7 linked regions of the Bombyx mori genome follow. The protein of the gene in region 3 binds, or shares a complex with, the protein of the main gene of each other region. Links are inferred from orthologs where the notes say so. Each region holds a gene or a part of one and is shown on either strand. Other genes may lie near its edges.

Evidence for each region.
Region 1: U5 small nuclear ribonucleoprotein 40 kDa protein (region 3) and RING-type E3 ubiquitin-protein ligase PPIL2 share a complex: the UniProt entries of both Homo sapiens proteins name them as parts of the minor spliceosome. The link is inferred for Bombyx mori from reciprocal best matches to the Homo sapiens genes SNRNP40 and PPIL2.
Region 2: U5 small nuclear ribonucleoprotein 40 kDa protein (region 3) and thioredoxin-like protein 4A share a complex: the UniProt entries of both Homo sapiens proteins name them as parts of the U4/U6-U5 tri-snRNP complex. The link is inferred for Bombyx mori from reciprocal best matches to the Homo sapiens genes SNRNP40 and TXNL4A.
Region 4: U5 small nuclear ribonucleoprotein 40 kDa protein (region 3) and pre-mRNA-splicing factor RBM22 share a complex: the UniProt entries of both Homo sapiens proteins name them as parts of the postcatalytic spliceosome P complex. The link is inferred for Bombyx mori from reciprocal best matches to the Homo sapiens genes SNRNP40 and RBM22.
Region 5: U5 small nuclear ribonucleoprotein 40 kDa protein (region 3) and BUD13 homolog share a complex: the UniProt entries of both Homo sapiens proteins name them as parts of the minor spliceosome. The link is inferred for Bombyx mori from reciprocal best matches to the Homo sapiens genes SNRNP40 and BUD13.
Region 6: U5 small nuclear ribonucleoprotein 40 kDa protein (region 3) and protein CWC15 homolog share a complex: the UniProt entries of both Homo sapiens proteins name them as parts of the minor spliceosome. The link is inferred for Bombyx mori from reciprocal best matches to the Homo sapiens genes SNRNP40 and CWC15.
Region 7: U5 small nuclear ribonucleoprotein 40 kDa protein (region 3) and protein AAR2 homolog share a complex: the UniProt entries of both Homo sapiens proteins name them as parts of the U5 snRNP complex. The link is inferred for Bombyx mori from reciprocal best matches to the Homo sapiens genes SNRNP40 and AAR2.

The regions. Positions count from the first base shown.
Region 1 is NC_085116.1:14,595,389-14,597,990, forward strand, and holds part of RING-type E3 ubiquitin-protein ligase PPIL2, read left to right. Parts: intron 1-68; coding exon 69-217; intron 218-1,841; coding exon 1,842-1,993; intron 1,994-2,602. UniProt on the Homo sapiens protein: Has a ubiquitin-protein ligase activity acting as an E3 ubiquitin protein ligase or as an ubiquitin-ubiquitin ligase promoting elongation of ubiquitin chains on substrates.
Region 2 is NC_085120.1:13,294,256-13,298,397, forward strand, and holds thioredoxin-like protein 4A, read right to left. Parts: upstream 2,801-4,142; 5' UTR 1,991-2,800; coding exon 1,913-1,990; intron 1,622-1,912; coding exon 1,485-1,621; intron 826-1,484; coding exon 612-825; 3' UTR 402-611; downstream 1-401. UniProt on the Homo sapiens protein: Plays a role in pre-mRNA splicing as component of the U5 snRNP and U4/U6-U5 tri-snRNP complexes that are involved in spliceosome assembly, and as component of the precatalytic spliceosome (spliceosome B complex).
Region 3 is NC_085109.1:1,114,854-1,119,030, reverse strand, and holds the start of U5 small nuclear ribonucleoprotein 40 kDa protein, read right to left. Parts: upstream 2,801-4,177; 5' UTR 2,571-2,800; coding exon 2,454-2,570; intron 2,143-2,453; coding exon 2,016-2,142; intron 1,455-2,015; coding exon 1,251-1,454; intron 930-1,250; coding exon 687-929; exon of another isoform or gene 125-686; coding exon 1-124. UniProt on the Homo sapiens protein: Required for pre-mRNA splicing as component of the activated spliceosome. Component of the U5 small nuclear ribonucleoprotein (snRNP) complex and the U4/U6-U5 tri-snRNP complex, building blocks of the spliceosome.
Region 4 is NC_085127.1:4,267,745-4,271,824, reverse strand, and holds the start of pre-mRNA-splicing factor RBM22, read left to right. Parts: upstream 1-1,280; 5' UTR 1,281-1,456; intron 1,457-1,530; 5' UTR 1,531-1,574; coding exon 1,575-1,628; intron 1,629-1,699; coding exon 1,700-1,753; intron 1,754-1,824; coding exon 1,825-2,315; intron 2,316-2,654; coding exon 2,655-2,828; intron 2,829-3,334; coding exon 3,335-3,477; intron 3,478-3,712; coding exon 3,713-3,825; intron 3,826-4,080. UniProt on the Homo sapiens protein: Required for pre-mRNA splicing as component of the activated spliceosome. Involved in the first step of pre-mRNA splicing.
Region 5 is NC_085130.1:5,568,827-5,572,835, forward strand, and holds the start of BUD13 homolog, read left to right. Parts: upstream 1-1,209; 5' UTR 1,210-1,347; coding exon 1,348-1,448; intron 1,449-1,980; coding exon 1,981-2,164; intron 2,165-2,274; coding exon 2,275-3,463; intron 3,464-4,009. UniProt on the Homo sapiens protein: Involved in pre-mRNA splicing as component of the activated spliceosome. As a component of the minor spliceosome, involved in the splicing of U12-type introns in pre-mRNAs.
Region 6 is NC_085110.1:8,228,614-8,232,277, reverse strand, and holds the end of protein CWC15 homolog, read left to right. Parts: intron 1-194; coding exon 195-474; intron 475-690; coding exon 691-795; intron 796-2,815; coding exon 2,816-2,953; 3' UTR 2,954-3,164; downstream 3,165-3,664. UniProt on the Homo sapiens protein: Involved in pre-mRNA splicing as component of the spliceosome. Component of the PRP19-CDC5L complex that forms an integral part of the spliceosome and is required for activating pre-mRNA splicing.
Region 7 is NC_085115.1:3,919,477-3,923,454, reverse strand, and holds the start of protein AAR2 homolog, read left to right. Parts: upstream 1-1,178; 5' UTR 1,179-1,281; coding exon 1,282-1,484; intron 1,485-1,757; coding exon 1,758-1,960; intron 1,961-2,382; coding exon 2,383-2,640; intron 2,641-2,986; coding exon 2,987-3,113; intron 3,114-3,362; coding exon 3,363-3,780; 3' UTR 3,781-3,978. UniProt on the Homo sapiens protein: Component of the U5 snRNP complex that is required for spliceosome assembly and for pre-mRNA splicing.

The sequences.
Region 1 (2,602 bases), on a different chromosome or scaffold from region 3:
ATCACTCTTTAATTCATGAAGAGTAATGTAAGGGCAAGATTGTTAAGACCAGACAATGTTTGTTTCAGGTTATGTAAGACTGGTAACAAATGTAGGACATCTGAACTTTGAATTGTACTGCGACGTAACGCCCAAAACTTGTCACAACTTCATGACACATTGTAAAAATGGATACTACAACGGAACAAAGTTCCACAGGTCTATCAGGAATTTTATGGTGAGTTGATGAAAATATTAAGTGGCGTTGAGTTTTATACCACGACTAGTGTAAAAAGACTGGTAGTTCTGCTTTGCAGAACTTCAACTTTTTTTATTGCTTAGATGGGTGGACGAGCTCACAGCCCACCTGGTGCTAAGTGGTTACTGGAGCCCATAGACATCTACAACGTAAATGCGCCACCCACCTTGAGATATAAGTTTAAGGTCTCAAGTATAGTAACAACAGCTTTTTTTTTTCGGGGAGAAATCCTCATGGATTGCCTCCGCCTGGTGAAAGGCGGAGGGGCGTGCTGGACTCCTACCGGCTAAAACCACCCTGGTGCCTCACCACACGTGCACGCGGGGCCGCGGGAATCGAAATTCTTCCGCAGGCCCACATAGTTAAAACAGCTGCCCCACCCTTCAAACCGAAACGCATAACTGCTTCACGGCAGAAATAGGCAGGGTGGTGGTCTCCCACGTGGACTCAAGAGGTCCTAAAAAAAGTGTCTGACATCTTGATTAATTAAACTACGTATCGAGGGGTGAAAGGCCATTTGGCTTAAGCTTCGATCAACAATAGTACAATTGTTGATCGAAGGGCTTAAGCGACATTTTTGCTACATTACAGGAGGACCGTTTAAAGTTTATAATTGGGACAAAATATTTTTACGCGTTGGGATTCGGGATAACTAAAAATTCTACCGAAGTACAATTTAAAACTGTATTAACGCATATAACCACTTAACAACGGGTGGGCTGTGAGCTCGTCCACCAATCCAAGCAAAAAAAAAACCACAACATTAAAGTTCTTAATTCACTTCTTCCGCTTCGCTTCAGGTGATCCGTTCGCTGTTTCGCTTCGAGTAGATGCGATTACTGACTGCCTTTGTGTTATCTCTGCAACGCTTTTATAATAGATACAACATTATTATTGCATTGCGTATAAAGCGAAATATCGCTTAAACCAAATAGCCTTACACCTCTCGATATGGCCTCCTGACTGAGCCTTTGCTCGCCCACCTGTCCTGGTGACAATGGAAAGGCCACCAGTAATCCTTCATTTTGAAAAAAAAGTTGGTCTGGGACAGCTAGCTTTATTATTTTAATGAAAACTATCAATGAACAAACAAATTGAATTAGAGACAGATGTGTGTCTAGAGTAATTCTATTGTAAGCTCAGAACTACTTACTATATCTGCAATATGGTTTTTGGGATAAACAGGTGATAAGAGGATACAGAACCTATGACCTATGGTCTCACTTTTCTGTCTATTTTTAACACAAAGCAATCATGCCAGAGGCGTTTAGTTTTAGACTGTCTATAACTGTCTATTACCAGATGGACCGTGAAGTTCGTCTGGCGATTAGACAACTTACCTGTTTAAAATATATGATTTTTTTATTAAACTAGCTGACGCGGCCGACTTCTTAGTGCCTCGATAAACAAAAAACCTAAACTTTTGTAAAAAATAAACTCAAAGGGAAAACAAAATTGTTATTTTTATTTAATTCCGAGCATTTTCATATTTATCTACCTTTTAAACCTTCATTCAATTCAAGACCAAAATTAGCCAAATCGGTCCAGCTGTTCTCGAGTTTTAGCGAGACTAACGACCAGCAATTCATTTTTATATATATAGATTCAAGGAGGAGATCCAACGGGCACAGGGTTGGGAGGCGAATCCATTTGGAAGAAACCTTTTGATGATGAAATTAAGCCAAACTTGCACCACACCGGACGAGGAGTCTTGTCTATGGCTAACTCGGGAACCAATACTAACGGATCACAATTGTAAGTACTAGATGTATTTTTAATAACTATAAATGAACTGAAGCTTTTAGGACTGGGACAGAGTTGCTTTTTTGAAATTGTAGTTTCGTGTTGTATGAATTTTCTAAAACAATAAATAAAATTACTATTCTCAAAACTTCACTATTTGAAAATTAAATAAATACAAGAACGTGAAGAAGACCAGTGCTTTGGTTCTACTCAAGACTGTGAGTTTACCTAGTCTTGCCATAAATACTGAGACAAAGGGAAAAAAAAAATCTATTGCAAAAACGTTTATTACTTTTACAGTGTGTTAGTTTAAAACATAAATATAAAACAATTTAAAGTATTAAAAGATTATTCGAAGTGGTCTCCATTGGCTGCAATACAGTCCTTTGAACGTTGAGGCCAGTTATCAATAGAAGCACACACTCTTTCCATGGGAAAATTTTTCACTGTCAATCGTACGGATTGTTTTAGGGACTCCAAATTATCATGGCGTTTAGAGCAAGCCGTACTCTCTAAAACTGACCATAAATTATAATCCAGCAGATTAAGATAGGGACTAGACGACGGCCAGTCTTCAGCTGTCAAGTTCGAGTCCGAAACGTTCGTTTCCAACCAAGACTG
Region 2 (4,142 bases), on a different chromosome or scaffold from region 3:
GAGGATCCGAAATGACGTGTTTAGGGCTTCTCGTCCCTCTTGGCCTTGGCACGACCGTTTATCGGTCTTTTACTGGTATTTTACTGGTGGTAGGACCTCTTGTGAGTCCGCACGGGTAGGTACTACCGCCCCGCCTATTTCTGCCGTGAAGCAGTAATGCGTTTCGGTTTGAAGGGTGGGGCAGGCGTTGTGACTATACTGAGACCTTAGAACTATATCTCAAGGTGTGTGGCGCATTTACGTCGTAGATGTCTATGACCTCCAGTAACCACTTAACACCAGGTGGGCTGTGAGCTCGTCCACACATCTAAGCAATAAAAAATAAAAATAAAGTATTTTTGATAATGGTTTTTTTTTTTTTCAATGATGAAGATATTGCAACACAAAAAAAAGGATCTACATCAGCATAAAACTTGTCATTTATTCTACTTTTACTTTGTTTAATATCAGGAAGAACAGCATAATTCCAAAAACACATGAGTTATAATGTAATATGTATAGTTCTTATTTTTATATAAAAAAAGTTACATTACTAAATTTATGATGACTATGATGTCAGATATGATTACAAATTACTAGACCATTCAGGTGGAACATTATTTTAAATTAAACTAATATCTGTATTTGGTAGAGTAATCTTTCGGTGAGACAACAAGACCTCGTCCTTTTCTTGCCCCTCTGTACACAGTTTCAATAATATCAATCATCTCCTGCTTGTCTTCGAGAGGCCAGTTGATTTTATTGTTGTTGCCAGTCCCCAAGTCAATCATTATGTGTTTGTTGCGGAAGAAGAACATCACTGTGCATGGATCGTATAATTCATACCTAGAAATAAGTTTAAATAATATTATTATAGGCCTTGCTTAGTCATTTTATATACTAGACCCTTTCTACTAGACTAGAACTTTCAACCTTTTTTACTTAATGATGTATTAACATACTCTATATATACATGACACCCTTAAATGCAAAGATTTATAGTTGGGAGTGATGGTTGTTGGTATTTACATCACTCATATGTAATACTGTTGTATGGTTAATATTTAATAAACAATTGTATATTTAACCAACATGTATCCCTGAGATGCAATTTCCCAGATCACCTTAAATAAAAATTGAAATATCGTATTTCTAATTTTCACAACACACTTGACTTGCAACATTCCAGTGATCAAGAACTGCTGTTCTACTCTAGTCTTAAAATCAACAATTTGAAAAAAATTATTAACAATGTAGATAATGAAATTCATTTACTGTATGAACCAGACTTATTAAGAATTCCTAGAAAACTCATAGTTCTTTGCTTCTTCACTTATGATACTTTTTTAATAATTAATAAAACAACAAATTTAATAATACAACATAATTTCCTTAAAACACTGGAGGTAGGAGGACTTGTGTATTCCACAAAGGTTTTAAGAAAACCTATCAAAATCTTAATTTCAGAAATAAATTTAGAACAAGTAGTTTTACGGTATACTTACATTTTATTAAAATCTGGAACTTCTGTAATGTCAACTAAATATATGACAGCAAAATTTTTTACTTTTTCCGCAATGCTGTATAATACTTCATCCATTTTCATACATGTTGGGTCCCAGTCGTGTCCAAACCTTATAACCTAGATATGTAAATTAGAATTAATTACATTTAATATAGTTGAATCATAGGGCAAGACAATTAGGCCACTAATTAAATAACTATTAACTGTTTTGGCTCAAAGCATTTTGTTAGTTCCTTTAATTCAAAATCTATTGTTTTTTATACTAGAAGGTTGAAGGTCTTGGTTTCTACTGCATTTATATACTTTAACAAATACCTATTGATGTAAGGTTAGAATATAATTATTATTTTTAGTCTTCAGATACTAAATCTCAGATTTCTACATTCTATGAATCTAGTTAAAACTCACCACTACACGGTCTTCTTCTGATAGAATGGCCTGATCTACTTGCCAACCATTGTGTAGATGTCCTAGCATATAACTCATTTTGCAAATAAACTACTTTACGTATTATTTCAAACAAACGATTATTCCTGTATTCTTTTTTCTGGAAATTGCTATTGCTATGAGCAAAATATAATCGTGTTGTAGGACCACTGAACAAATATTGATATTATTTTGCTCACTGAAATTTGCCTTTCACATCTAAGACATTCCAAAGTTATTTTATTCTCACATTTTGTTTCTCGTCACTGTTCACGTTTTCTATAGAAGTGTGTTCAAAAAGTTTAGAGCAGGCGTTGTCTTTTTTGTTACTTCATAACAAAAAGAATGTTCTGTGAAATAGAGAACTTTAAATTTATAATTATTTAATAATATGTAGGTATTAAGATATGACTATTCTATGAGTAAATTTACAAACACTGACTTTTACCAGGTCATAAAATACCTTAAAAAAAATCACAGACCACAGTATGACGTATGACAGTAGCAGTTCCATTTTCCAACAAGAAAGGCGGAGGTATCAGTCCATACAGCGTAATCTTTCATGGAATTATTCTGTTATTTATATCAATTTAATATGAAGTTAATAATGATATGGATGAAATGAGGTGAAGTTTATTTATTTGAGGCTTTAATGTTAATCATATATTTTATCGTTACAACTCTTATAGGTACAACAAGGTATTTAAATTAAATTATATAGGTATAGGATATAGGTTATAGGATTTAAATTAAATAAAATTAATAATTTTGTGCAGCGACCGGCGCGGCGCGTGCGCGTTATTCAATTTTTCTTTATCGACCCTCCGTATTTTTACGAATCCTGCGAGGCGTCGCGGCGTCGGTCGCACGGCGTTGTTCGACACTTTAGGGTTCCGCTTAGCGTGCGGGTGTTGTAACGTAATGTTACAACTGAAATCGTCTGCAAAATAAAAAAAGAAAATAAAAAAAACCTTAAAACAAAAGTATTTATGTTCAAAGCAGTTATTTTATCGATTGTACCGCTGAGGTGACAACAATAGTTCCCACCTCCCCCCGAGACGTAGGTTCGGCTGGCGCAGACACTGCGCAGCCGCTGCGCCGGCAGTCGTCACTAGAATCGACATCAACCCCACGAAAAGCACAGCGGTGCTCTTCAAAAGGGGTCGCCCTCCGAACACCACGCTGAGCATCCCCCTCCCGACTAGGCGCGTCAACACCTCCGCCCCCGCCATTCGCCCAATCACGATGTTCGACCAGCCCATACCGTGGGCCCCGAAGGTCAAATATTTAGGCGTCACCCTCGACAGTAGGATGACATTCCGCCCTCACATCAAGACGGTACGCGACCGTGCCGCCTTCATTCTAGGACGTCTCTACCCGATGATATGTAGGCGAAGTAAAATGTCCCTTAGAAATAAGGTGACACTCTACAAAATTTGCATACGCCCCGTCATGACCTATGCAAGTGTAGTGTTCGCTCACGCGGCCCGCACTCACTTAAAATCGTTCCACATTATTCAATCCCGTTTTTGCAGGATAGCCGTCGGAGCCCCGTGGTTCGTCAGGAACGTCGACCTCCATGACGACCTGGACTTAGAGTCCATCAGTAAGTATCTACAGTCGGCGTCGATGCGCCACTTCGATAAAGCGGCACGACACGAGAACCCTCTCATCGTGGCCGCCGGTAACTACATTCCCGATCCTGCGGACAGAATGGAAAGCAGTCGACGTCGCCCAAAACACGTCATCTCGGATCCTCCCGATCCACTAACGGTGCTTCTAGGTACTTCAAGTACCGGTCACCGTTCTCGTCGAACCCGTCGCTTGCGACGAAGGGCTCGACGAGTAAATTAACTCTCAGACACAGCCCACTGAGTTTCTCGCCGGATCTTCTCAGTGGGTCGCGTTTCCGATCCGGTGGTAGATTCTGCGAAGCACGGGTCTTGCTAGGGTTCGTGTTAGCAACGTCATCAGGTTTGAGCCCCGCGAGCTCAACTACAAAAGTTAGGGTTACGCTGAAATAGCCTCTCAAGGCTCTCAGCGTAGGTAGAAAAAAAAAGTGTGTGTGTCCGCTCCGACGCACGACTGGAGTTTACTGGATATAAATATAAATTTGTGTCAGTTGAATACAGTAAAATATGGAAGTTACGTATTCTAGTGAGAATGATCCGGGAGTTGCGGAACACGTGGATGCGGTAATTAAGTAAGTCTA
Region 3 (4,177 bases):
TGGTGGCCAGACATTAATTTGACACAGCGTTCTGTTGGTGCAAACGGTCTAACGTCCCAAATACGGAGTGTATTATCCATTGAATTGGACAGGAGATATGCACCATCCCATGACAATGATAATCCTGGAAACGAGTATTGCAACACAAGTTAGACATTGCCAGTCATTAAATGTATCAAACTCATATGATTTCTATTCACATATTTATTGCCGCACCTGGGTAGATGACTTCACGATCTACAAGTAAACTAAACAAGTAGTCTTAGTCATGAATTATTACTACTTATAAGGCTAGAGACATTCTAATAATAGCTGTTACATTTCTCTAAAATTACCTAATACCAGTTTGGGCTACCGAAGGCAGAATGGGTGAAGAAGTTTACAATACACCCGTCAACAAGTAACAACAGGGATTATAAAGAGAAATACATATGTATGCAACTACTACTACTGTACTGCATACCAATCAATCCATTCTCATTTCCTCATAAGATCAATATTTGTTAAATACATTGTATGGTAATCAGTATTTTAGTAGTTAACTAATAGACTGAAGTCATTACTGTCATCATATTGCCCTCACTCCACTCTAGATAAACTGTATCAATATTTTAATTTAATTTCTGGTTGCAGTATTATCACCTAATAAAAATCTAATTAATCAGAATCAATAAAGAATTACCAACCTGTAACCGTGTCTGTATGTCCTTTTATTTTCAAGGAAATCTGATTATTCCTTATATCCCACATTTTGATGACATTGTCCACACCGCTGGATAAAATTTTTTCAGCTGTATCATTGAAGAGTACACTTGTGACTGGATATGAACTGTCAAACGATGCAACTGGATTCCTTTTCCTTGCATCCCATAATTTTATGGTGTTATCATCTGAAGCTGAAACTAAGAGTTCTGGACCTCTTCTTGCTCCTGGATATAGAGATAACACGAGAAAGTTAGAATAGATTGTTACGTTGTCTAAACCAATTTTTTAATGGATGCCATGAATGAATTTACAGTTCTATTGTATCCACAGGCATTGAGATTTTAGATTGATGTTATCTGGTTTCAAACCATGGTTACGGATTATAGTTTCAATTTTAGGTCAATCCCACTTTATTTGGATCCAATCACTTTAAGGCTCTGAGAGTGCAAAGTAATGTTTAATTAAGTTACTGTTGTGTATTTGTACTACTAAAAAGCACTAGCATGAAAACCATTGTGTGTCAAAACTCAAACTATGAAACATACCTGAAACAGAGTTCACAAAGTTAGCGTGACCCTTTAACTTCTTGATTCTAGTCCCGGTGGGTACGTCCCATACTGCTACAGTATTGTCCGTAGCTCCAGTGTACAAATGTGAACCATCAGGTGAGAAGCAAAGCTGCATTATTGCTCCCGTGTGACCTTTCATCACCATCACATTCTCGCATTGACCATACACATTCCATATTACTGTGAAAATAAGAAATCAAAAATCATAATATTACTAAGTTGGACTTGTACAGCTTATAAGTTGTCAACATGACCCTGACATTGGTGGAAATTTTCAATGGTATAAACATTTATTTTGTATTTTTTTATATTAATGGTGGCTTAAGCTAAACAGTTTATATCAGCTATCATTTTGAGTATTGTATCATATTGTTCCCTACATTATAGGGCTCGTGTCACTAAAACCCCAGTACAGTGTGGCCCATGCCTGGGATATTGGTACTGGCAGTCATTCTTAATAATGCATATTAAATCAAACTGAAATGGATTTGGACTTCAGAGAAAATTTAAGACGCTGTAATATAATGTCTATGGTCTCCAATAATCACTTATACACTAGGTCAGATTTTACCTTGTTCACTCTTTTCAATTAAATTTAAAACCTACCTACTGTAATCTTATAATTTGTGTTATCAAATGTGTCAATTCTTCATTAACGTTTTGATAGTAGTATATTATTAGAGTGTGAATTTTAGAAACACTTTGCCAATTCAAAAGCTTTGTCATGATTTTGTTACTTACATATTTGTCTGTCAAAGCCTGCAGAAGCCAAATGTTTGCCTTCAGGATGAAATTTGCCTGTGAAAATTTCTCCTTGGTGTCCTTCCAACAACATAATTGGCGCATACAAGTTTGATGTTCGTGGAACCTAGAACGACAAGAATATAAAATACAAAACACAGGAATCTTGGAATCTTGTTGATCACTACAAATGTTGAAAAATAAATCTTAAAGTAAAAGCCGACTAAAATTCGTATTACCTTAAATTTTAACAAATATCAATCATGATTACCTAAGTACAGATTGTGTTTTTCTAAAAGTTTATTTTAGATGTTATGTTCCATTTCTAATAATTATAATTATGATCTCTTGATGCTTTCACCGTGGCGTTAGAGTTCTTAGCTTTTATAGACCGTACTATTGAGAAAATAAGTAAACTTTATTGAAAACAATACTCACAGATGAAGTAACAACTGCCTTTTCTCTGGTGCCGACTACTGAGATCTCATGCCGTACTCGCTTGGAGGGTACAAGAGACACATCCTCTGCTTTTCTTTTAGTTTCTATATCTGGCATTTTTTAAGATGTTTATTTACCTATTTGTTTTTATAGCTACAAACAGAAATACTAACCTTAAAAATGGTATAAGGACTGTTTAGCTTGTTTCATTTGTCAATTGTATAGGCAAAAGGAAAATAGCCAATATCGCCAAATTCTTTGTAACAAAAGACAAAGCTACCTTCTAAAAAGTTTTTTTTTTGTATACCTATTCAGATGAGAAGATGAGATAATGAGTCATTCAAAATGAAGAACTTAAAGTGTTTACTAGAGCCCATAGTCATCTACAATGTAAATGCCGCCATGCACCTTGAGATTTGAATTCTAATGTCCCAGTTTTTAAAGTACAATGGTTTTTTTTCGGGCCCGGGGCCGATCCTTCTAAGAGGTCCCCGCGCCTAAGAGGGCGTGAGATATGTGGAACTTTACGATCTGCAGGTTTTGGGAGCAGACCGCGGGCCCAAGGAGTTTTAGGGCCCTACCGCACTAAACGACTCCCTTGCACATTTACACCCAACGTCCGATCTCCGTCCGGGCTCAGAATCCGGACAATGTAGGGGGGGTTCCCGCGGTCAACACTATAACCAGACACGCGGCGCCCCTCCGAGGACCCCTGACCGACGGGTCGTCGAGACGGTAGTCGATGACCAATGACGCTGGTCTCCGCGGTACGGTGGCCCTACCTGGCCGCCCGGGCGATGCCGCTGGTGTTCTGGGATACTCTGCTTGGCCAAAACCAGCCTGATGGGTCAGAACGCGATACACCTCCGACCGCGTTGCTCTTCCACAGTATGTTCGGCGACGATAGTGACGACGACAATGCGGACCGCATTGCAGGCCGTAGTCGCTGACGTGTTGTCCCGTCCTCCTTGTGCCAGCGCGCTAGAGTGATGGTAGGTAGCGTGCGGCGCAGCCTCAACCCCCTCAGGTGAGGGAGTTGGCCCGGGGGAGGCCCCGTGACCATCACCGGGAGGAGACTGCCTCCTCAAAAATTCAATGGTTGTCCCAGCCTTCGAAATGAAACGTATTACTGCTTTATGGCAGAAATAGGCAGGGTGGTGCTACCTATCCGTGCAAACTCACAAGACGTCCTACCATCAGTAATTATGCAAATTATAATTTTGCGGGCTTTGTTCTTACTACACGATGTTATTCCTTTACCGTGGAAGTCAGTTTAGTTGATATGTACGTATTTCATTAGAAAAATTGGCACTTGCCTGCGCAATTCGAACATCGTTACATCGCTACATACGAATGCACCAAACGTCATATCCTTTAGGTCACGACGGCTATAAATCATTTGTTTAAGTTACAATTTTTTCACGTGTAGCCCCGATCGCTTTGTTTGTGTAATGAACTTTTAAAAGAGACGAGAACGCATTTTTTTTTTTTTATTGCTTAGATTGGTGGACGAGCTCACAGCCCACCTGATGTTAAGTGGTTACCGGAGCCCATAGACATCCACAACGTAAATGCGCCACCCACCTTGAGATACAAGTTCTAAGGTCTCAAGTATAGTAACGACGGCTGCCCCACCCTTCAAACCGAAACGCATTACTGCTTCACGACAGAAATAGGCAGGGCGGTGGTACCCACCCGCGCGGACTCACAAGAGGTCCTACCAC
Region 4 (4,080 bases), on a different chromosome or scaffold from region 3:
TACCACCTTACTTATTTCTGCCGTGAAGCAGTAATGCGTTTTAGTTTGAAGGGTGGAACAGCCATTGCACTGTAAAAACTAAGATGTCTCGAAGTGGGTGATGGCATTTACGTTATAGATGTCTATGAGCTTCGGTAACCACTTAACACCGGGTAGGCCGTTGGCTCGTCAAAAAAAAACTTTGTATCCATCCGTGAAGATGGTTTGGTATTAGGTTCAAATTTGTCTCCTCAAGCAATAATTCTACTAATACTTTTCTAATTAATTTCTCATGTGCCCTCTCTCAGTAGTACATTTATTCGTTATGGGATTTTAGTTATAAAATTTCATCGTAAGATTTAAGTAATAGATCAATAACTATCCAGAATTAAGTATTCTATTTTTTTTATTGCATAGTTGGGTGGACGAGCTCACAGCAAACCTGGTGTTACCTGTTACTGGAGCCCATAGACATCTACGACGTAAATGCGCCACCCACCTGAGATATCAGCTCTAAGGTTTCAAGTATAGGGCTGCCCCCACCCTTCAAATCGCATTACTGCTTCACGGCAGAAATAGGCAGGGCGATGGTACCTACCCATAAGGACTCACAAGAGGTCCTACCACCAGTAATCATAATAAGACCTGAAGGTGATTATTCGAAATGTAATGAAAATTAATAGAAAGTAGTAAAAACAGAAGTTAAACACAGAAAGAACTCAAAACTCAAACAACCTGAGAAACATTGCTAATTCTACACTGTTTCACTGTTTCTGCTCAGCTCACCATAACATAACCTAGTACGGTTAAGTACCAAGAGTCTTTCTATTTCGCTATGAAGTTTTTTATTTATTTAAAAAGTGGAAAAAGAATGGAAACATCGACCTGGTGTTCCAACGCCGGCAGTGACGGCCATTTGACTTATAAAGCTGAAAACTGGAAATTGATATAGCATTTTATAGCTTCGTTGACTTGTTGAACAATTTTAGTCAAATTACGTAAGTGTTGTAGTAGTAGCAAATTAACGATATTAGTGATCTGAGGAAATGGCTCTTAGTAGCACCGCTCTTTTGATATTTTTTAATTCCTATGAAATTTGCATTTCCTGCAGAGAATTCCCCTTTTACTGAAAGATTATTTGAATTGATTTCCTTTGAAGTCCAAGTAGTTCAACTACTTTAGTCATAGAGTTTCTTAATTCTACATAGAATAGGCTTGGCTTTACTTTCCATTGCAAAAGAACTGTATGCTCTTGATTTCTTTGTCTGTTTAAGCGAAAAAAATCAATAATCTCTATGTTCATCCCAGTGTCGACTGTCGACGGTTCAGTGCCATAGATTATACACTTTCAGTGCTGTTCGTTCAGAGTGAAAATCTGTCATTACAAAATGAATGTTCAATGACGTACCTTGGTAACTAAATACTTTTGTGATTTAGTTGCATGTAGAAATGGGAAAGAAGTGTTTTGTTTGATAGGGTAATTTAAACTAAATTACATTTCAACTTTACAATACAAATTACATTTCAATTCAACAATTATTTTTGTCACAGTTAAGCTGCGTTGAATCTAAAATAATATCAAGAAAGGACACGCCATGGCTACATCGAAGTCAACAAACACATACAATCGTCAGAATTGGGAAGACGCCGTGAGTATATTGTTGAAGCTTATCAATTATCATTATCTCATTGTGGTAGTAACCATGTTATATTTTTGCAGGATTTTCCAATATTGTGCCAAACATGTCTTGGAGATAACCCTTACATTAGAATGGTATGTATTGTGGTTTCCGATAACATTATTTCGACAACTTTGATTGTTTTTTTTCATTTAACTATTTTCAGACTAAAGAAAAATACGGTAAAGAATGTAAAATATGCTCAAGACCTTTCACAGTGTTTCGATGGTGTCCCGGAGCAAGAATGCGTTTCAAGAAAACAGAAATATGTCAGACCTGTTCGAAACTGAAAAATGTTTGTCAAACATGTTTATTGGATTTGGAATATGGTCTGCCAATCCAAGTGAGAGATGCTGCATTAAAAGTTCAGGATGACCTACCTCGAAACGAAGTAAACAAGGAATATTACATACAAAACTTGGAGAGTCAGCTGTCTAACTCTGATCCAACACAGCCAACCAATTCTCTAAAATCTAAAGGATCGTCCGATTTGTTGGTGCGGTTAGCTAGAACAGCTCCATATTATAAGAGGAATAGACCGCACGTGTGCTCGTTTTGGGTCAAAGGAGAATGTAGACGAGGGGAAGAATGTCCGTATCGTCACGAGAAGCCAACAGATCCTGATGATCCACTAGCTGATCAGAACATTAAAGACAGGTTAGTCACATAAGTTTTCTGTACATCTGCTTAGTGAAAATAAAAATAAACACGTCTTTGTAAAGTGGAATTTTAGTAAATTGCATTACAAAAAGTCTTTCGATTTAAGGTATTCATAGATTTTGATCAATTATTCATTTGAGTTCCAAAAATGAACCAAATCCTGACTAAAGATTGCGAATTAATGAGGCTTAAGTTATTGAAACTCCATTGTAATAATAGTATGTGAAATAACAGCAATATCATAGTTGTTATTGAATATCTCTTGATATTTTACAGTAAATAGCTGTTAGTGTTTCTAAAAAAAAAGTTGAAGGTTTCATAATTTTTTATTCACAGGTATTATGGTGTAAATGATCCAGTAGCTGAGAAGCTTATGCGTCGTGCTGCTGCAATGCCTGCTCTACCTCCACCTGAAGACAAAACTGTTACTACCTTGTATGTTGGTAATCTTCCTGATAATGTCACTGAGGACGAGCTTAGAGGCCACTTTTACCAATATGGTGAAATTAGGTAAGTTTGACAAGTTAACACAACAAATAACAATGCTCTGGAAACAAACAGTTCATAGAAATAAACTCATAATTGTGTCTGGTGATATACACTGCATATATCTTAATTATGTTTTAATAATCTAAATATTTTTTTATTTAAATTATGCAGCTAATGTAAAGTATTCTCATATGTTCAGAGTTGACTAACTAATATTTAATTTAAGGATTATGTACCAAGTAAACCATAGTACATCCCTAGTATTATGGTTTTTAAAATAAGACCGATATCTGATTGGTGGTTATCTTAAGTTGCTACAACCATTTTTCTCATCAGTTCACAGTAGTATTCCCTTGTATTTTTTTATTATCTATTAATGTAATTGAGATTTTGATCATCATCACAAGGCTGATGAAATTAATGGTGTGATGTTGTCATTAGAAATGTGTGTATCATTAGAAAACAAATCACTATTCTAGACTTGTTTGATAAAATTAGCACTATGTTAGAAGTTATTGAATTTTCAGATGTTTGACTCTTGTACCTCGAGCCCAGTGTGCCTTTGTGCAATATACTTCAAGAAATGCTGCAGAACATGCTGCAGAAAAGACTTTCAATCGTCTTGTTATTTTTGGCAAGAGACTGACAATCAAATGGGGTAAATCGCAAGGTAACAAAACATTATTATTGCATTGTGCAAGTTTCTAAGAGAGTACCTGGTAACTACAAAATGTTAGAATACACTACATTTATGAAAAAGTATTCAATATGTTTTTTGCAAGTTATTTTCTGAAATGAGGTTTGTACTCAAACTAGTATAATTTAAAGACCTCAATCTGTAATATGATAGTAAAAGTTTATATTTCGTAATATTTATGAGTGTGTAATGTTGTTGTATATAACAGGACGACAAGGACTTACTGAGAAGAATGATGGTGTACCCATGTTGGAACCAGTTCCTGGATTGCCTGGGACGTTGCCACCACCCCCTGCATATTTACATCCATTCCCGCCACAAGTTAGTGTAAAAATGTTTTAAATTCTATGTAAAATATTTTACTTTTCTTCAAAGGATACTGAACAAAGCCTACTTTACTGGTGGTACTTAGCTTTACTGGTGGTAGGACCTCTTGTGAGTCCGCGCGTGTAGGTACCACCGCCCTGCCTATTTCTGCCGTGAAGCAGTAATGCGTTTCAGTCTGAAGGGTAGGGCAGCCATTGTAACTATACTGAGATCTTAGAACTTATATCTCAAGGTGGGTGGCGCATTTAC
Region 5 (4,009 bases), on a different chromosome or scaffold from region 3:
GTTGAGTTCGCCTACGCTCTTCAACCTGTATATGAACGAGCTGATCGGCGAGCTCAGTAGGACCAGGATTGGTTGTTTCATAGACGGGGTGTGCGTAAACAACATCAGCTACGCAGACGATATGGTGCTGCTGAGCGCGTCTATCTGTGGCCTAAGGCAACTTGTTTCTTTGTGTGAGGGATACGCCAAATCACACGGTTTGGTGTACAACTGTAAAAAGTCGGAGATCATGGTCTTTGAGACCAGGGGTGGGACGCATGATAAAATACCTCCCGTAGTACTCAACGGAACGCCATTGACAAGAGTTTATAAATTTAAATATCTCGGCCATGTGTTGACCCCTGATCTCAAAGATGATGAAGATATTGAACGAGAGCGGAGAGCGTTGTCGGTTAGAGCAAACATGATAGCTCGCAGGTTTGCACGGTGTTCACTTAAAGTCAAGGTCACCCTCTTTAGGGCCTACTGTACTAACTTTTACACGTGCAGCTTGTGGGCTGGATATACTCAAAGATCGTACAATGCTCTCCGTGTTCAATACAATAACGCGTTTAGGGTGCTGGTGGTGCTGCCCCGCTTTTGTAGCGCATCAGGGATGTTTGCAGACGCGCACATAGATTGTTTTTACGCTACCATGCGTAAAAGGTGTGCATCTCTGGTAAACAGAGTGAGGGCCAGCTCCAACAGTATCCTGAGCATGATCGCAAGCAGGCTGGACTGTATATACATGGGTCGCTGTGGTGCCATCTCCCATGGGATGTTACCACAGTAATTCATTGTGATGTAAATATAAATACTAACATAGGTCTAAGTCTTATTAACAATTTATATGAGTCATGGATACTTGAAATAAAAACATTATTATTATTATTATTATTATTATTAATGGTTTAATATCTGTGAAAGTGCACAAATGAAACAAAGCCGCTGGACGTAGCTTCTAGGGATCCTCCAAAAAGCCCACTAAAGAAGTCTCAGTAAATAACCACCATTTTACTGAGATTATATTTCATCCCATGTTATCTTATCTCAATTTATTTCATTTCATCTCAGTTGATTAATGTCTCAAATTAATCATCTTCATTTCATTTTATTTCATTTGACTCCCTAAATCATTTTTCATAAAAATAAGAATTTAAATATAAAATAAGACATGACCCAAAAGTCTTAGTTACCAGGACATAAAATCCCTTTAAAAAAAGTGTATTATGGCTTTGAAACATTTGAAAGAATGTTGATTTGTGACATTTGTGTTTGTCTAAATTGATACCATAGATAATACACATAATAATATAAAGTTCGTCAAATTAATTTTCTAAATTAAATAATTTGAAATTTTATTTAATAATGGCTACGACTGTAAACCAGAAAGCGTACTTGCAAAAATACCTGGCTGGTCCATCGGGCGATAAAAAGAAAAAGAAAAAAAAAGTGCTAAAAGGAAAAGGGTAAGTCAACTGTAGACAATGTGAACAATAATTGAAATTAAACGTGAAAGAATTTACTATTTCTAAAAAAAATACCTTAAATATCTACCGTTTTGATATTTACAATTGTATTTTGGCATTATATTAAAGTGCTGTCGTCACACTAAAATGCATTTTAAAATTGAAAAAAAAATCATGTACATTTTCACGTATTCTCCTTACAAGTTATTGTATTTTAAGTAAGTATTGATTATTTGTATAATGAAATACATAACAAATGCGAATTAATTTCAAATTTCTTATTCCTGTCAATATTTTCATTCAGTATGGATGAATTTTTTGGTTGCTTAAGCATGTTGTTCTAATAAGGTTCGAACAGTACATTAACTATATCATCACTCTCGGCTCATCTTCCTTCAAAGACGCAAACGTCAGTTCCAAATAAAGAACAAAAAAAAATTCTTTCATTAGTGAAAGATACAGATGACAAATAACCTTACCTGTTGAAACACTAAAGTGAATATAAAAAATGTATTTTCTCATCTAATTTTAGGTTCAAAATAATAGACGATGACATTGACCTATCGAAGCTACGACCCCTTGAGGGTGACGAGTTAGATGTGTATGATGAAGGTGATGACGCACCGCAAGTAGCAGGTATCATCGATGAAAGACCAGAGCATATAAAAAAACAGGAACAATTCACCACTAGTTCTAAATGGAAGATCGTGAATCAGGTACACATGTTTATTACTTTATTTTTACTGTCAAGCCTTCAACATATTAAAAAACCATTCTAATAGAAATCTTATTCATCGATTATAACAGACACCGAAAATCGTTACAGGATGACGGATTCAACAGCAAACTACAAATTGAAGAGATAAAGAAAGATGTAAAGGAAACCGAGAAAGAAAACGAATTGGTCTTTGGAAAAATGTACAGTGATTCCGAAGATGATAAGCCAAATGTTTCAGAAGCTTCGCCGTCTGGAAGAGCTAAAAGCAAAAAAAAACACAACAGTGACAGCGACTTCAGCCCACCAAGAAGAGGGAATCCAGTGAAAAGGAATAATTCTCCTAAAAGAACTACTGAATATGATTCTGATCTTTCACCACCTAGAAAGCATGAGGGTCAGAGAGCTGAAAAACTTAAAAAACCAAGTCGTTGGGACAATGAGAAGGATAAGTCACCAAAGTCTTTAAGAGCTAATAACCACAGAAGATCTAAGAGCTCTGATTTGTCTCCTCTAAGGAAAACCCAAATGAATAAGATTTCTTCAGGACAAGATATGAAAATTCAAAAAAGATATGATGTGACATCTCCCAGAAAATCTAGAAAAGATGATTCAAAACGAAATAGACTTAACTCAGTTTCACCTCCGAGGCGAAAAAAATCCCCAGAGAAATCTAAATTTGGTCACGATAACAGACAGAGCCAGTTAAAAAAGTATAATGATACAGATTATGGTTCGAGGTATGACAAAAGATCTAACAGATCAAATTCAGATTCTGATATGTCTCCCCCAAGAAAGAGTAAGAGACAAATCTCAGAATCTCCCTGTAGAAATGTTCCACTAAGAAAAAAAACGAATGATAGTGATTCAGATTTATCTCCTCCCCGTAAAAATATAAGATATGCAGAAAACAAGTCCTATAGGAATGTAAGCAAAAAACCTCACAGGAGGAATGACACAAAAGACAGTGGTTCGGATTTATCACCACCGCGAAAGCTTAAGAATATAGATAACTACAGAAGGCATGACTCTGAACGTAAAAGAAAAGACAGAAGTTCAAAAAGAAATAATAGCGATTCTGATCTTTCTCCTCCTAGGAAAGATAGGTCTAACAAGAATGACAGTCCCCCTCCAACCCATAAAAAAATGGAGAAGACTTTGGAAGGAAAGAAAGCAGGATTACAAGATGCCAAGCAGCTGAGGCAAGAAAACGATGACTTTAGAAAGAAAGAAGAGGAGATGTTTAAGAAAATGAAAGATGATGTTTCAGGCAGGAATGCTCAAGTTGTGTCAAGGAAAGGTTAGAATTATTAATATAAAATTTAATTTAAATAATAAAAAAAAAGAATATTACACATATCTACGGCAATCTAATTTAAAATTATAAGTAATCTTTGTTACTTAATCTTACTTTATTACTTATTCTCTATTACTTTAGTACTTAACAAATGTTCACGATTGACTTCCACCATGAAGGAATAACATCGTGTAATAAAAATCAAACCCGCAAAATTATAATTTGCGTAATCACTGGCGGTAGGACCTCTTATGAGTCCGCGCTGGTAGGTACCACCACCATCCTGCCTATTTCTGCTGTGAAGCAGTAACGCGTTTCGGTCTGAAGGGTAGGGCAGCCGTTATAACTATACTGAGACCTTAAAACTCGTATCACAAGGTGGGTAGCGCATTTGCTTGTAGATGTCTATGGGCTCCAGTTACCACTTAACTTCAGGTGGGCTGTGAGCTCGTCCACCCATCTAAGTAATAAAAAAAAGTTACATAGTTAAAGTCAAAATAAATATGTGAGCATTCATTGTTCATGGAACATATTTTTATACAAAAATTT
Region 6 (3,664 bases), on a different chromosome or scaffold from region 3:
CCCGCGTGGTGGTAAGTGCTTAACGGACCTCATAAAAAGCCATCTTGAGACAAGGTAGAGTACTTGAATTATTGTTTTAGAAAATACGCTACCCTTCAAAACCACAATGTATAACTCGTTCAAAGCATAAATACCACGTTTGTAATGCACCAAAATGTAAAGAAAAAGTCAAATATTAAAATCTATTTTAATAGGGAATCAGGTCAAGGGACATCTGAGGAATTACGCTCTCGTGATTTTCGTAAGGAGTTGGATGATAGAGAAAAAGATGTTAAAACTACGACTACAAAACGTACAAGTGAACCACAAGCAAAAAGAACTAAGGTTGATCAAGTTCCTGCAGCAAGTCTTGATGCTGATGATCCTCTTGAAGGCGATTCCACTGACTCTGATGATTCAGATGATGATACTGCTGCATTGCTAGCAGAATTAAACAGAATTAAGAAGGAAAGGGCCATTGAACAAGCTAAAAAAGTAAGATATATCTTAGATACTAGAGTTAGATACTATACTATAAGACTATTTTTGTACTGATGTACACAAAGTATGTTTAAATTAAATTTTACAATATATATTTTTTTTAATTTGTCTAACTTTAGTGTACTTTAGTGTATTTTGATACCCAAACTAAATAAAATTCAAATAACAAATAAACCTTGTTGCACAAATCAATTTTGTTTTACCTTATAGGAAGCTGAAAAGAAACAAGAAGAGGAAAGAATTAGAATGGAGAACATATTATCGGGTAATCCTTTACTCAACTACTCCGCTGCAGGACAGAAGAATGACATGAAGGTAATTAAAAACATTAAAATGAATTTTGTTTTAACTCCTGATAACTGTTTGGTGATTGAACTGAACTGCAGATGTCATTGATGTTGTATTTATCAATGTTGAAGTAATTGTGCCCTAAAAGATAAAGACTCCCGGTGCATTTGTATAAAGCTATGTGACTGTGCCGGTGCTCTCATCCTGCAGACAGGTACCAATGGTAATGAAATATATACTTAACGTAAATTGACAAATGATTTCCATCATGAACAAATAGTGTTTAATAAAGATCGAACCCACCAAAATTATAATTTGCTTAATGAATGGCAGTAGAATGGGGTAGTAATGTGTTTTCGTTTGGTATAAAATCTGATATTTAGAACTCATGTCTCATAGTGGGTGACAACATTTAAGATGTCGATTTCTATGGGCCATGAACTTAATTCACCCATCAAAGGAATAAAAAAAGTGTAGATGACCTTTAGTTTCTGCAGTGGGTAGGTATTCATTTGTTGTAGTACAAGTTCTTCATTCTGGCTAGTCAGTTTCATGATACTACATTATTAAATTACACATTGACCAGGATTATCTTGATAAATAATTTAAATGCATCTTTTAATTGGCATTTGTTGTTTTGCTGGTGTTTTGTTTTTGTTATTTTGTTATTCCATAGTAACAATACTATCTGTGTTTTACTTTTTTTATGGCATATTTATGTGTTTGTATGTTTATGTATGTGTTGTATGTTTCTGTTCTGGTACACTATGGTACTTTTCAAATCTGTTTCAAGATATTATTTTTCATTCTTCCAAGTATGTCTAGCATTGTCTTTTTGGTGTTAAGTGGTTATAAACTTGGGTCTCACTTAGATTATAATTATTCAGAGCTTTTGTTGTGTATTGGTATTTTAGATATCCTTGCCATATGATAATAATATGATGTGTATTGAAACATGTGCAAATAATATTCAATCAGTATCTGTTTTGATATCTCATTGGTGAAGTATACTGACAACTACCAGATAACCCTTTTATACCAGGTTGGCCATAAGTTTGTTCACCTATCTATGCTATAAAAATAACTATTAAAACGTATTGTTGCTATTGTTTTCGGTTTACTTGTATTTGAATCAATATCATTGATACTCCACAGGGAATACTTTAATAATGCACAAAAAAATTATTTTTCCTTTCATTATGCATATGTAGCGGCAGATATTGAGGATTCAAGACTATTAAATAATTTCATTTAGACTTTGGTTGATTCATTATTTTACATTTTCGGTTCTATAAACACTGGTTGCTGTTTTGACACCACAGGGACTGTGATTTTGTACACCCACTAATAAATACCATACAAAAATGCAAAAGTAATTGAAAGTGATTTTAAGAACATTAACATAATCTGCTCAAGCATTGGATGAATCCGGTATTGGAACGCCCAGAGGCACCACTCAGCACAACTCGTCATTAGGCCTCTACATGATATCATTAGAGAGAGACTGACTGAGTTATGAGAGTCACAACCTTCATCTATGAGGGTCGATTAAGAAGAATTTAAGAAGTCGTCGTGGCCTAAAGGATAACTCATTCGGTGCATTCATGTTGAGCGATGCACCGGTGTTCGAATCCCAGGCGGGTACCAATTTTTCTAATGAAATACGTACTCAATAAATATTCTCGATTGACTTCCACGGTGAAGGAATAACATCGTGTAATAAAAATCAAACCTGCAAATTTTAATTTGCGTAACGACTTGTGGTAGGATCTCTTGTGAGTACGCGCGGGTAGGTACCATCCCCTAGCCTATTTCTGCCGTGAAGCAGTAATGCATTCCGGTTTGAAGGGCGGGGCAGCCGTTGTAACTATACTTGAGACCTGAGAACTTATATCTCAAGGTGGGTGGCGCATTTACGTCGTAGATGTCTATGGGCTGCAATAACAACTTAACACCAGGTGGGCTGTGAGCTCGTACACCCATTTATGCAAATAAAAAAAAAGGACAATCGTAATATTATATCTATATTTTTTTTGGGTTGTTCCAGGTAAAAAGAAGATGGGATGATGACGTTGTTTTCAAAAATTGCGCTCGTTCTGAACCGGAAAAGAAACCTAATACTTTTATAAATGACTCATTAAGATCAGAGTTCCATAAGAAATTTATGGAAAAGTACGTGAAATAGTAAATCATTATTGATATTGTAATTCTAAATTTAAAGTTGTTAAAAGCGATTCTATACCTTATTGTAAGCGGAATAGTGATAACGAAGTGGAAATGCTACTATGGATATTACAAACACGTAAAGAAAAGATTGACGAAAACCAATATAATTTTAGTAAATATTATGAAAAAAATGTCATTTTGTTGTTTTGAATAAATTATATGAAAACAAATAGTATTTTATAAAGTTTATTTTCAAGTTAATGTCACGTTACTGATAAAAAGTAATGTTTGTTTCCTCAACAACAGATAGAGGTCAGTTCATTAGCATAATGTGTCTAATTTACTCATATAACAACGAACATTGCTTTCGGGTTCGAAATTTGAGACTCAACTTCTGAGTTTCAGTGGTAAAAATCTTGGTAGTTGGGGTATCCAAACTAAATTAGGGAAGGTATTAAAGAGATTAATTTACAAAAAATTCAAACTTACTGCCCCGATTTGATAATCAATACGCCACCCGTTAAAGTACATAACTGCATTGTTAATGGTAGTAATAAATAATTATTAAATTAACTTATTAACATTCGGAGTTCGGACTGACCAGACTGACGTGTCCGGCGAAGTTGAATGTTTTTATTATTGCGGCGTTGTGAGTGAGGCGTGAGAGGGGAGGCAGTGGTAAGTGCGGAGCAGGCGGCGGCGGCCTACCTTGAGTGGGCAGGTCCACAGC
Region 7 (3,978 bases), on a different chromosome or scaffold from region 3:
TGGTTTCTTAATATTGAGGGGGGAACAGAACGGGTTGTGTTGGACTCTGTACCTGACGGCCCCTACGGGAGATGAACGGAAGCTTCGCGCCCGCGCCGCCCACTCCGCCTTCTTCGCTGAGGACCTGAAGAGAGATCCCACTCCCTTTCGCACTCCTCAGCCTCATGGAACACCAGAATCAGTTCGCAAAGCCTCGCACGAACTCTTGTCCTTTAACATAAGATCAACGACAGTCGCAAGGAGATGTCCCTCCCCAGCACCACGATTAGATCTCACCGCGTGTTCTCCCGACGCGGGCACGCTTTGAGATGCGCTTCCGTTTTAAGATTCGAGTGGTGAGGTGGGAGTCTCAGAAGTCCGTACGATCAATATATTTCATCAAATTTGAGTTTCGTCGAAGTTTTTCATATACGCTCTGCTGACTTATTCTCTGTTCTATTATGAGTAGCTCCGTTAAGCGTTACAGAAATATAAATTAATGTACCTACCCTCCTGTCTTATGTTTTAGAGAAATTACTTTATAAAAAGCGTGATTCTGTGCTCATGTAGAAAAACAAATCCTAAGATAGCAGACAGATTTAAAATAACAAATTAATTAACTTAATAATAATATGCCGAAAATTAAACATGATATATTTATAAACTTAGTTTTTCAAATGAATTGAGTTATAAAGATAGTCGTAGGTAGCCATGCTGAAAAAATAAACAAATAGAACAAGTGAAGGACACATCACTTAGTTATCTATCTATCTATCTATCTCTTAGGCTTATGGCGTTTCCTTTTAGATTTCGCCAATGTCAAGTGTATTTAATACTCTGCTTTCTATAGCGGGCTTCGTGAACGAGCAAGGTCACAGATATTCACTAAGAATTAAGTGAGTAGCTAAGAATATTTGATGACAGGATCTCTGTTGATTTACCTAAAACAAATAAGACGCACACAATATATATTATACAGGGGTTAGTTCGATAACAGACAGACACTTAGTTACTGTTAAATACAATCGTATTGGGTTATGGTGCTTTTAATGTTTAAAACATTGTTTTACATAGTTGAGAACAAAAACATTATTTCAAACCTAAGAAAATTATTAAAAAATCTATTCACTTCAGTCTGCATTGTACCTACCTTTCACGTTCAGAAACATTCAAATCGGCACGCGTCGAGATTTTGACATTGACGTTTGACACTCACGAATGTAAACACATTGATTGATTGATTGTATGTATTTTTATCATACCATTAATTCATATTTCATTGTTTCGGGAGCATAGTTGGATATGGATCAAGAAACAGCGAAAAAGCTGCTAGTGGAAGGGGGCACGTTTGTATTCTTGAGAGTCCCTTCAGAAACCCAGTTTGGCATCGATATGCAGTGCTGGAACACGGAGGAAGATTTTCGTGGCGTTAAAATGATTCCTCCAGGCTTACATTATGTTCATTACTCTGCTGTCAGTAAAGGTACTGGCGATATTGCACCTAGGTAAGTGCGTTTTATATATACTTTAAAAAAACAATCCTAGTACTATACAAGGAATTCAAGTTTGGAGGTTGTTTTTGGAATCTTATCACTTAATTTTAATATGGTAATTCGATATCAGATTTACACTCAGAATTTACATATTCGAAGCACAAAATATATGTATACAGCTTATTAAGTTTCTTCGTGTATTGTTATTGAACTTATATGAGACTGATATCAATATTATTGTTACTTGCATACCTAAATAAATTACTTTTCTTGATTAAATTCCAGATCTGGCTTCATGCATTACTTTCACAAAAAAGAATTTCTTGTGAAAATGTGGGACAAAAAAACTGAAGATTTGAGCAAGGAAGAGATCAGTGATGAGAGCATCCAACGTTTGAAAGATAATTTATTTAATTTGGACCGACATCTTGCTCCATATCCATATGAAATATGGCAGAAGTGGAAGTTACTGTCTTCACAGATCACTGGTTGGTGTCTTCAATTAAAGAAATACTTGCCCTACAAATCTTGAATGAACTTAGTCTTGTTGAAGTTGGTGGTAGTTCACATTATGAGCCTGGTCATATTGGCATAGTGGAGCATATTGAGACTGGTCACTGTCCTCGCCGAACCCGTCGCTTGTGATGAAGGGCTTAATGAGTAAAATTAACCCATAGACACAGTCTACTGAGTTTCTCACCGGATCTTCTCAGGGGGTTGCGTTTCCGATACGGTGGTAGATTCTGCGAAGCACTGCTATTGCTAGAGGCAGTGTTAGCAACACTCCTGGTTTGAGCCCCGTAAACTTAGGCTTGTATCAGAAAAAACAATTCATACAAGAAACTAAAATATTGTGTTATTCCAGAATCTTATATCAATAATCTGTACTAAGTTTAATTTCTATTGTCAGCTGAACTAGCAGCAAAATTGGCACCAGAAAGTGGAATGATAAGAGCATCAGTTGAGCTTTTATCGATGACTGATGCAGAAAGACCAAGAGGAGTCAAGTCTTCATCTAGTTCAATAAGTCAGGAGAATGAAAAATCTCCCACTAAAGAGGATTTCAGTGAAGAACAGATTGCCGGACACTCAAGTGCTAAGAGAGCTAAAAGAATCACAAGGGAAGAGAAAGAAAAGTCATTGTTACCAGATTTGAAACCAGTTCCAGGTAAATTAATGAAACAAAGATAAATGTAAATAATATTTTTCCCCTATATATCTACTAAAATAAAACTACACGCCTAATTAATTACTGATTGTAGGACCTGTGAGGCTGCATGGATAGGTTATCACCAGCCTGCATATTTCTGCCGTGAAGCAGTAATGTGTTTCGGTTTGACTATACCTTAGAACTTATATCTCAAGGTGGGTGGCGGCATTTATGTTGTATATGCCTATGTGCTCCAGTAACCACTTAACACCATGTGGGCCGTGAGCCTGTCGTCTGTCCACCCATGTAAGCAATAAAAAATATAAAAAAAAATAAAAGAATTCTAAAATGTGAATCTTTACAGGAGCTGCTATGAGATTCACAGAAATACCTCAAGATAAATATCCACCGGATGCAACACCAGAGGAGATCACGAAACATTACTTAGATCAGTCATACTCATTAGAGCTCATGATAGCACAGCATAATGAGTAAGTATCTATTTTTATTAACTGTTAGTATTTTAAGAGAAATTTGAGGGTATCTTAATATAAAATTTTGTTGACTACATACTACATTCATATGTTGATTACATATACAGTTGAATGTCTATGATGGATATTTTAAGCATTGTTCAGTGCCGAAGTTATCAGGAAGCTAAAGTCAAGTCTCGACTCTTGACATGATTAAATGCACAAAAGCCAAAATCTAGAATTCTATATACGTGTTTTATTTTTCAGACCTCTACACATCATAGGAGAACTGCAATTCGCATATTTGTGCTTTTTGATTGGGCACTCCCTAGAGGCTTTTGAGCACTGGAAGAGCCTCGTCATACTCATATGTTCGTGTGACGAGGCCATACACAAATACAGAAGTGTTTTCTTTCACTTCATTAGGACTATTGAGGTGCAAATCGAAGAGATGCCCGAAGATTTCTTAGCCGATATAGTGATGAATAAAAATTTAGTATACAAGAAACTCCGTGAGTTTTTCCGCACGGCTTACGTAAGCAAAGTCGACGGCAGACTTTTGACGATGATTGAACGCTTCAAAGATAACCTGACCGACAAATTGCAATGGGATTTCACTGGTCTAGACGCTGACGATGAAGACGAGAGGCCGGTCGTAGTGAAACTCGACGATGGAACTCAATAGATTATATTTAATGGCTCCTCTTCACAATCGGCCATGATAGGCCAACAAACAATCGTCCATCATCGCCGCCATGATGGGGCAACTCTCCACACAATCGTGAACGTTTATTTACTGACTGTCTACTGATATGTTAAGACGTCTAGGTATCGATGATGGAAATCGAGGAGATCGCGGCTGCGGCAATATTTTTAGTTCTAT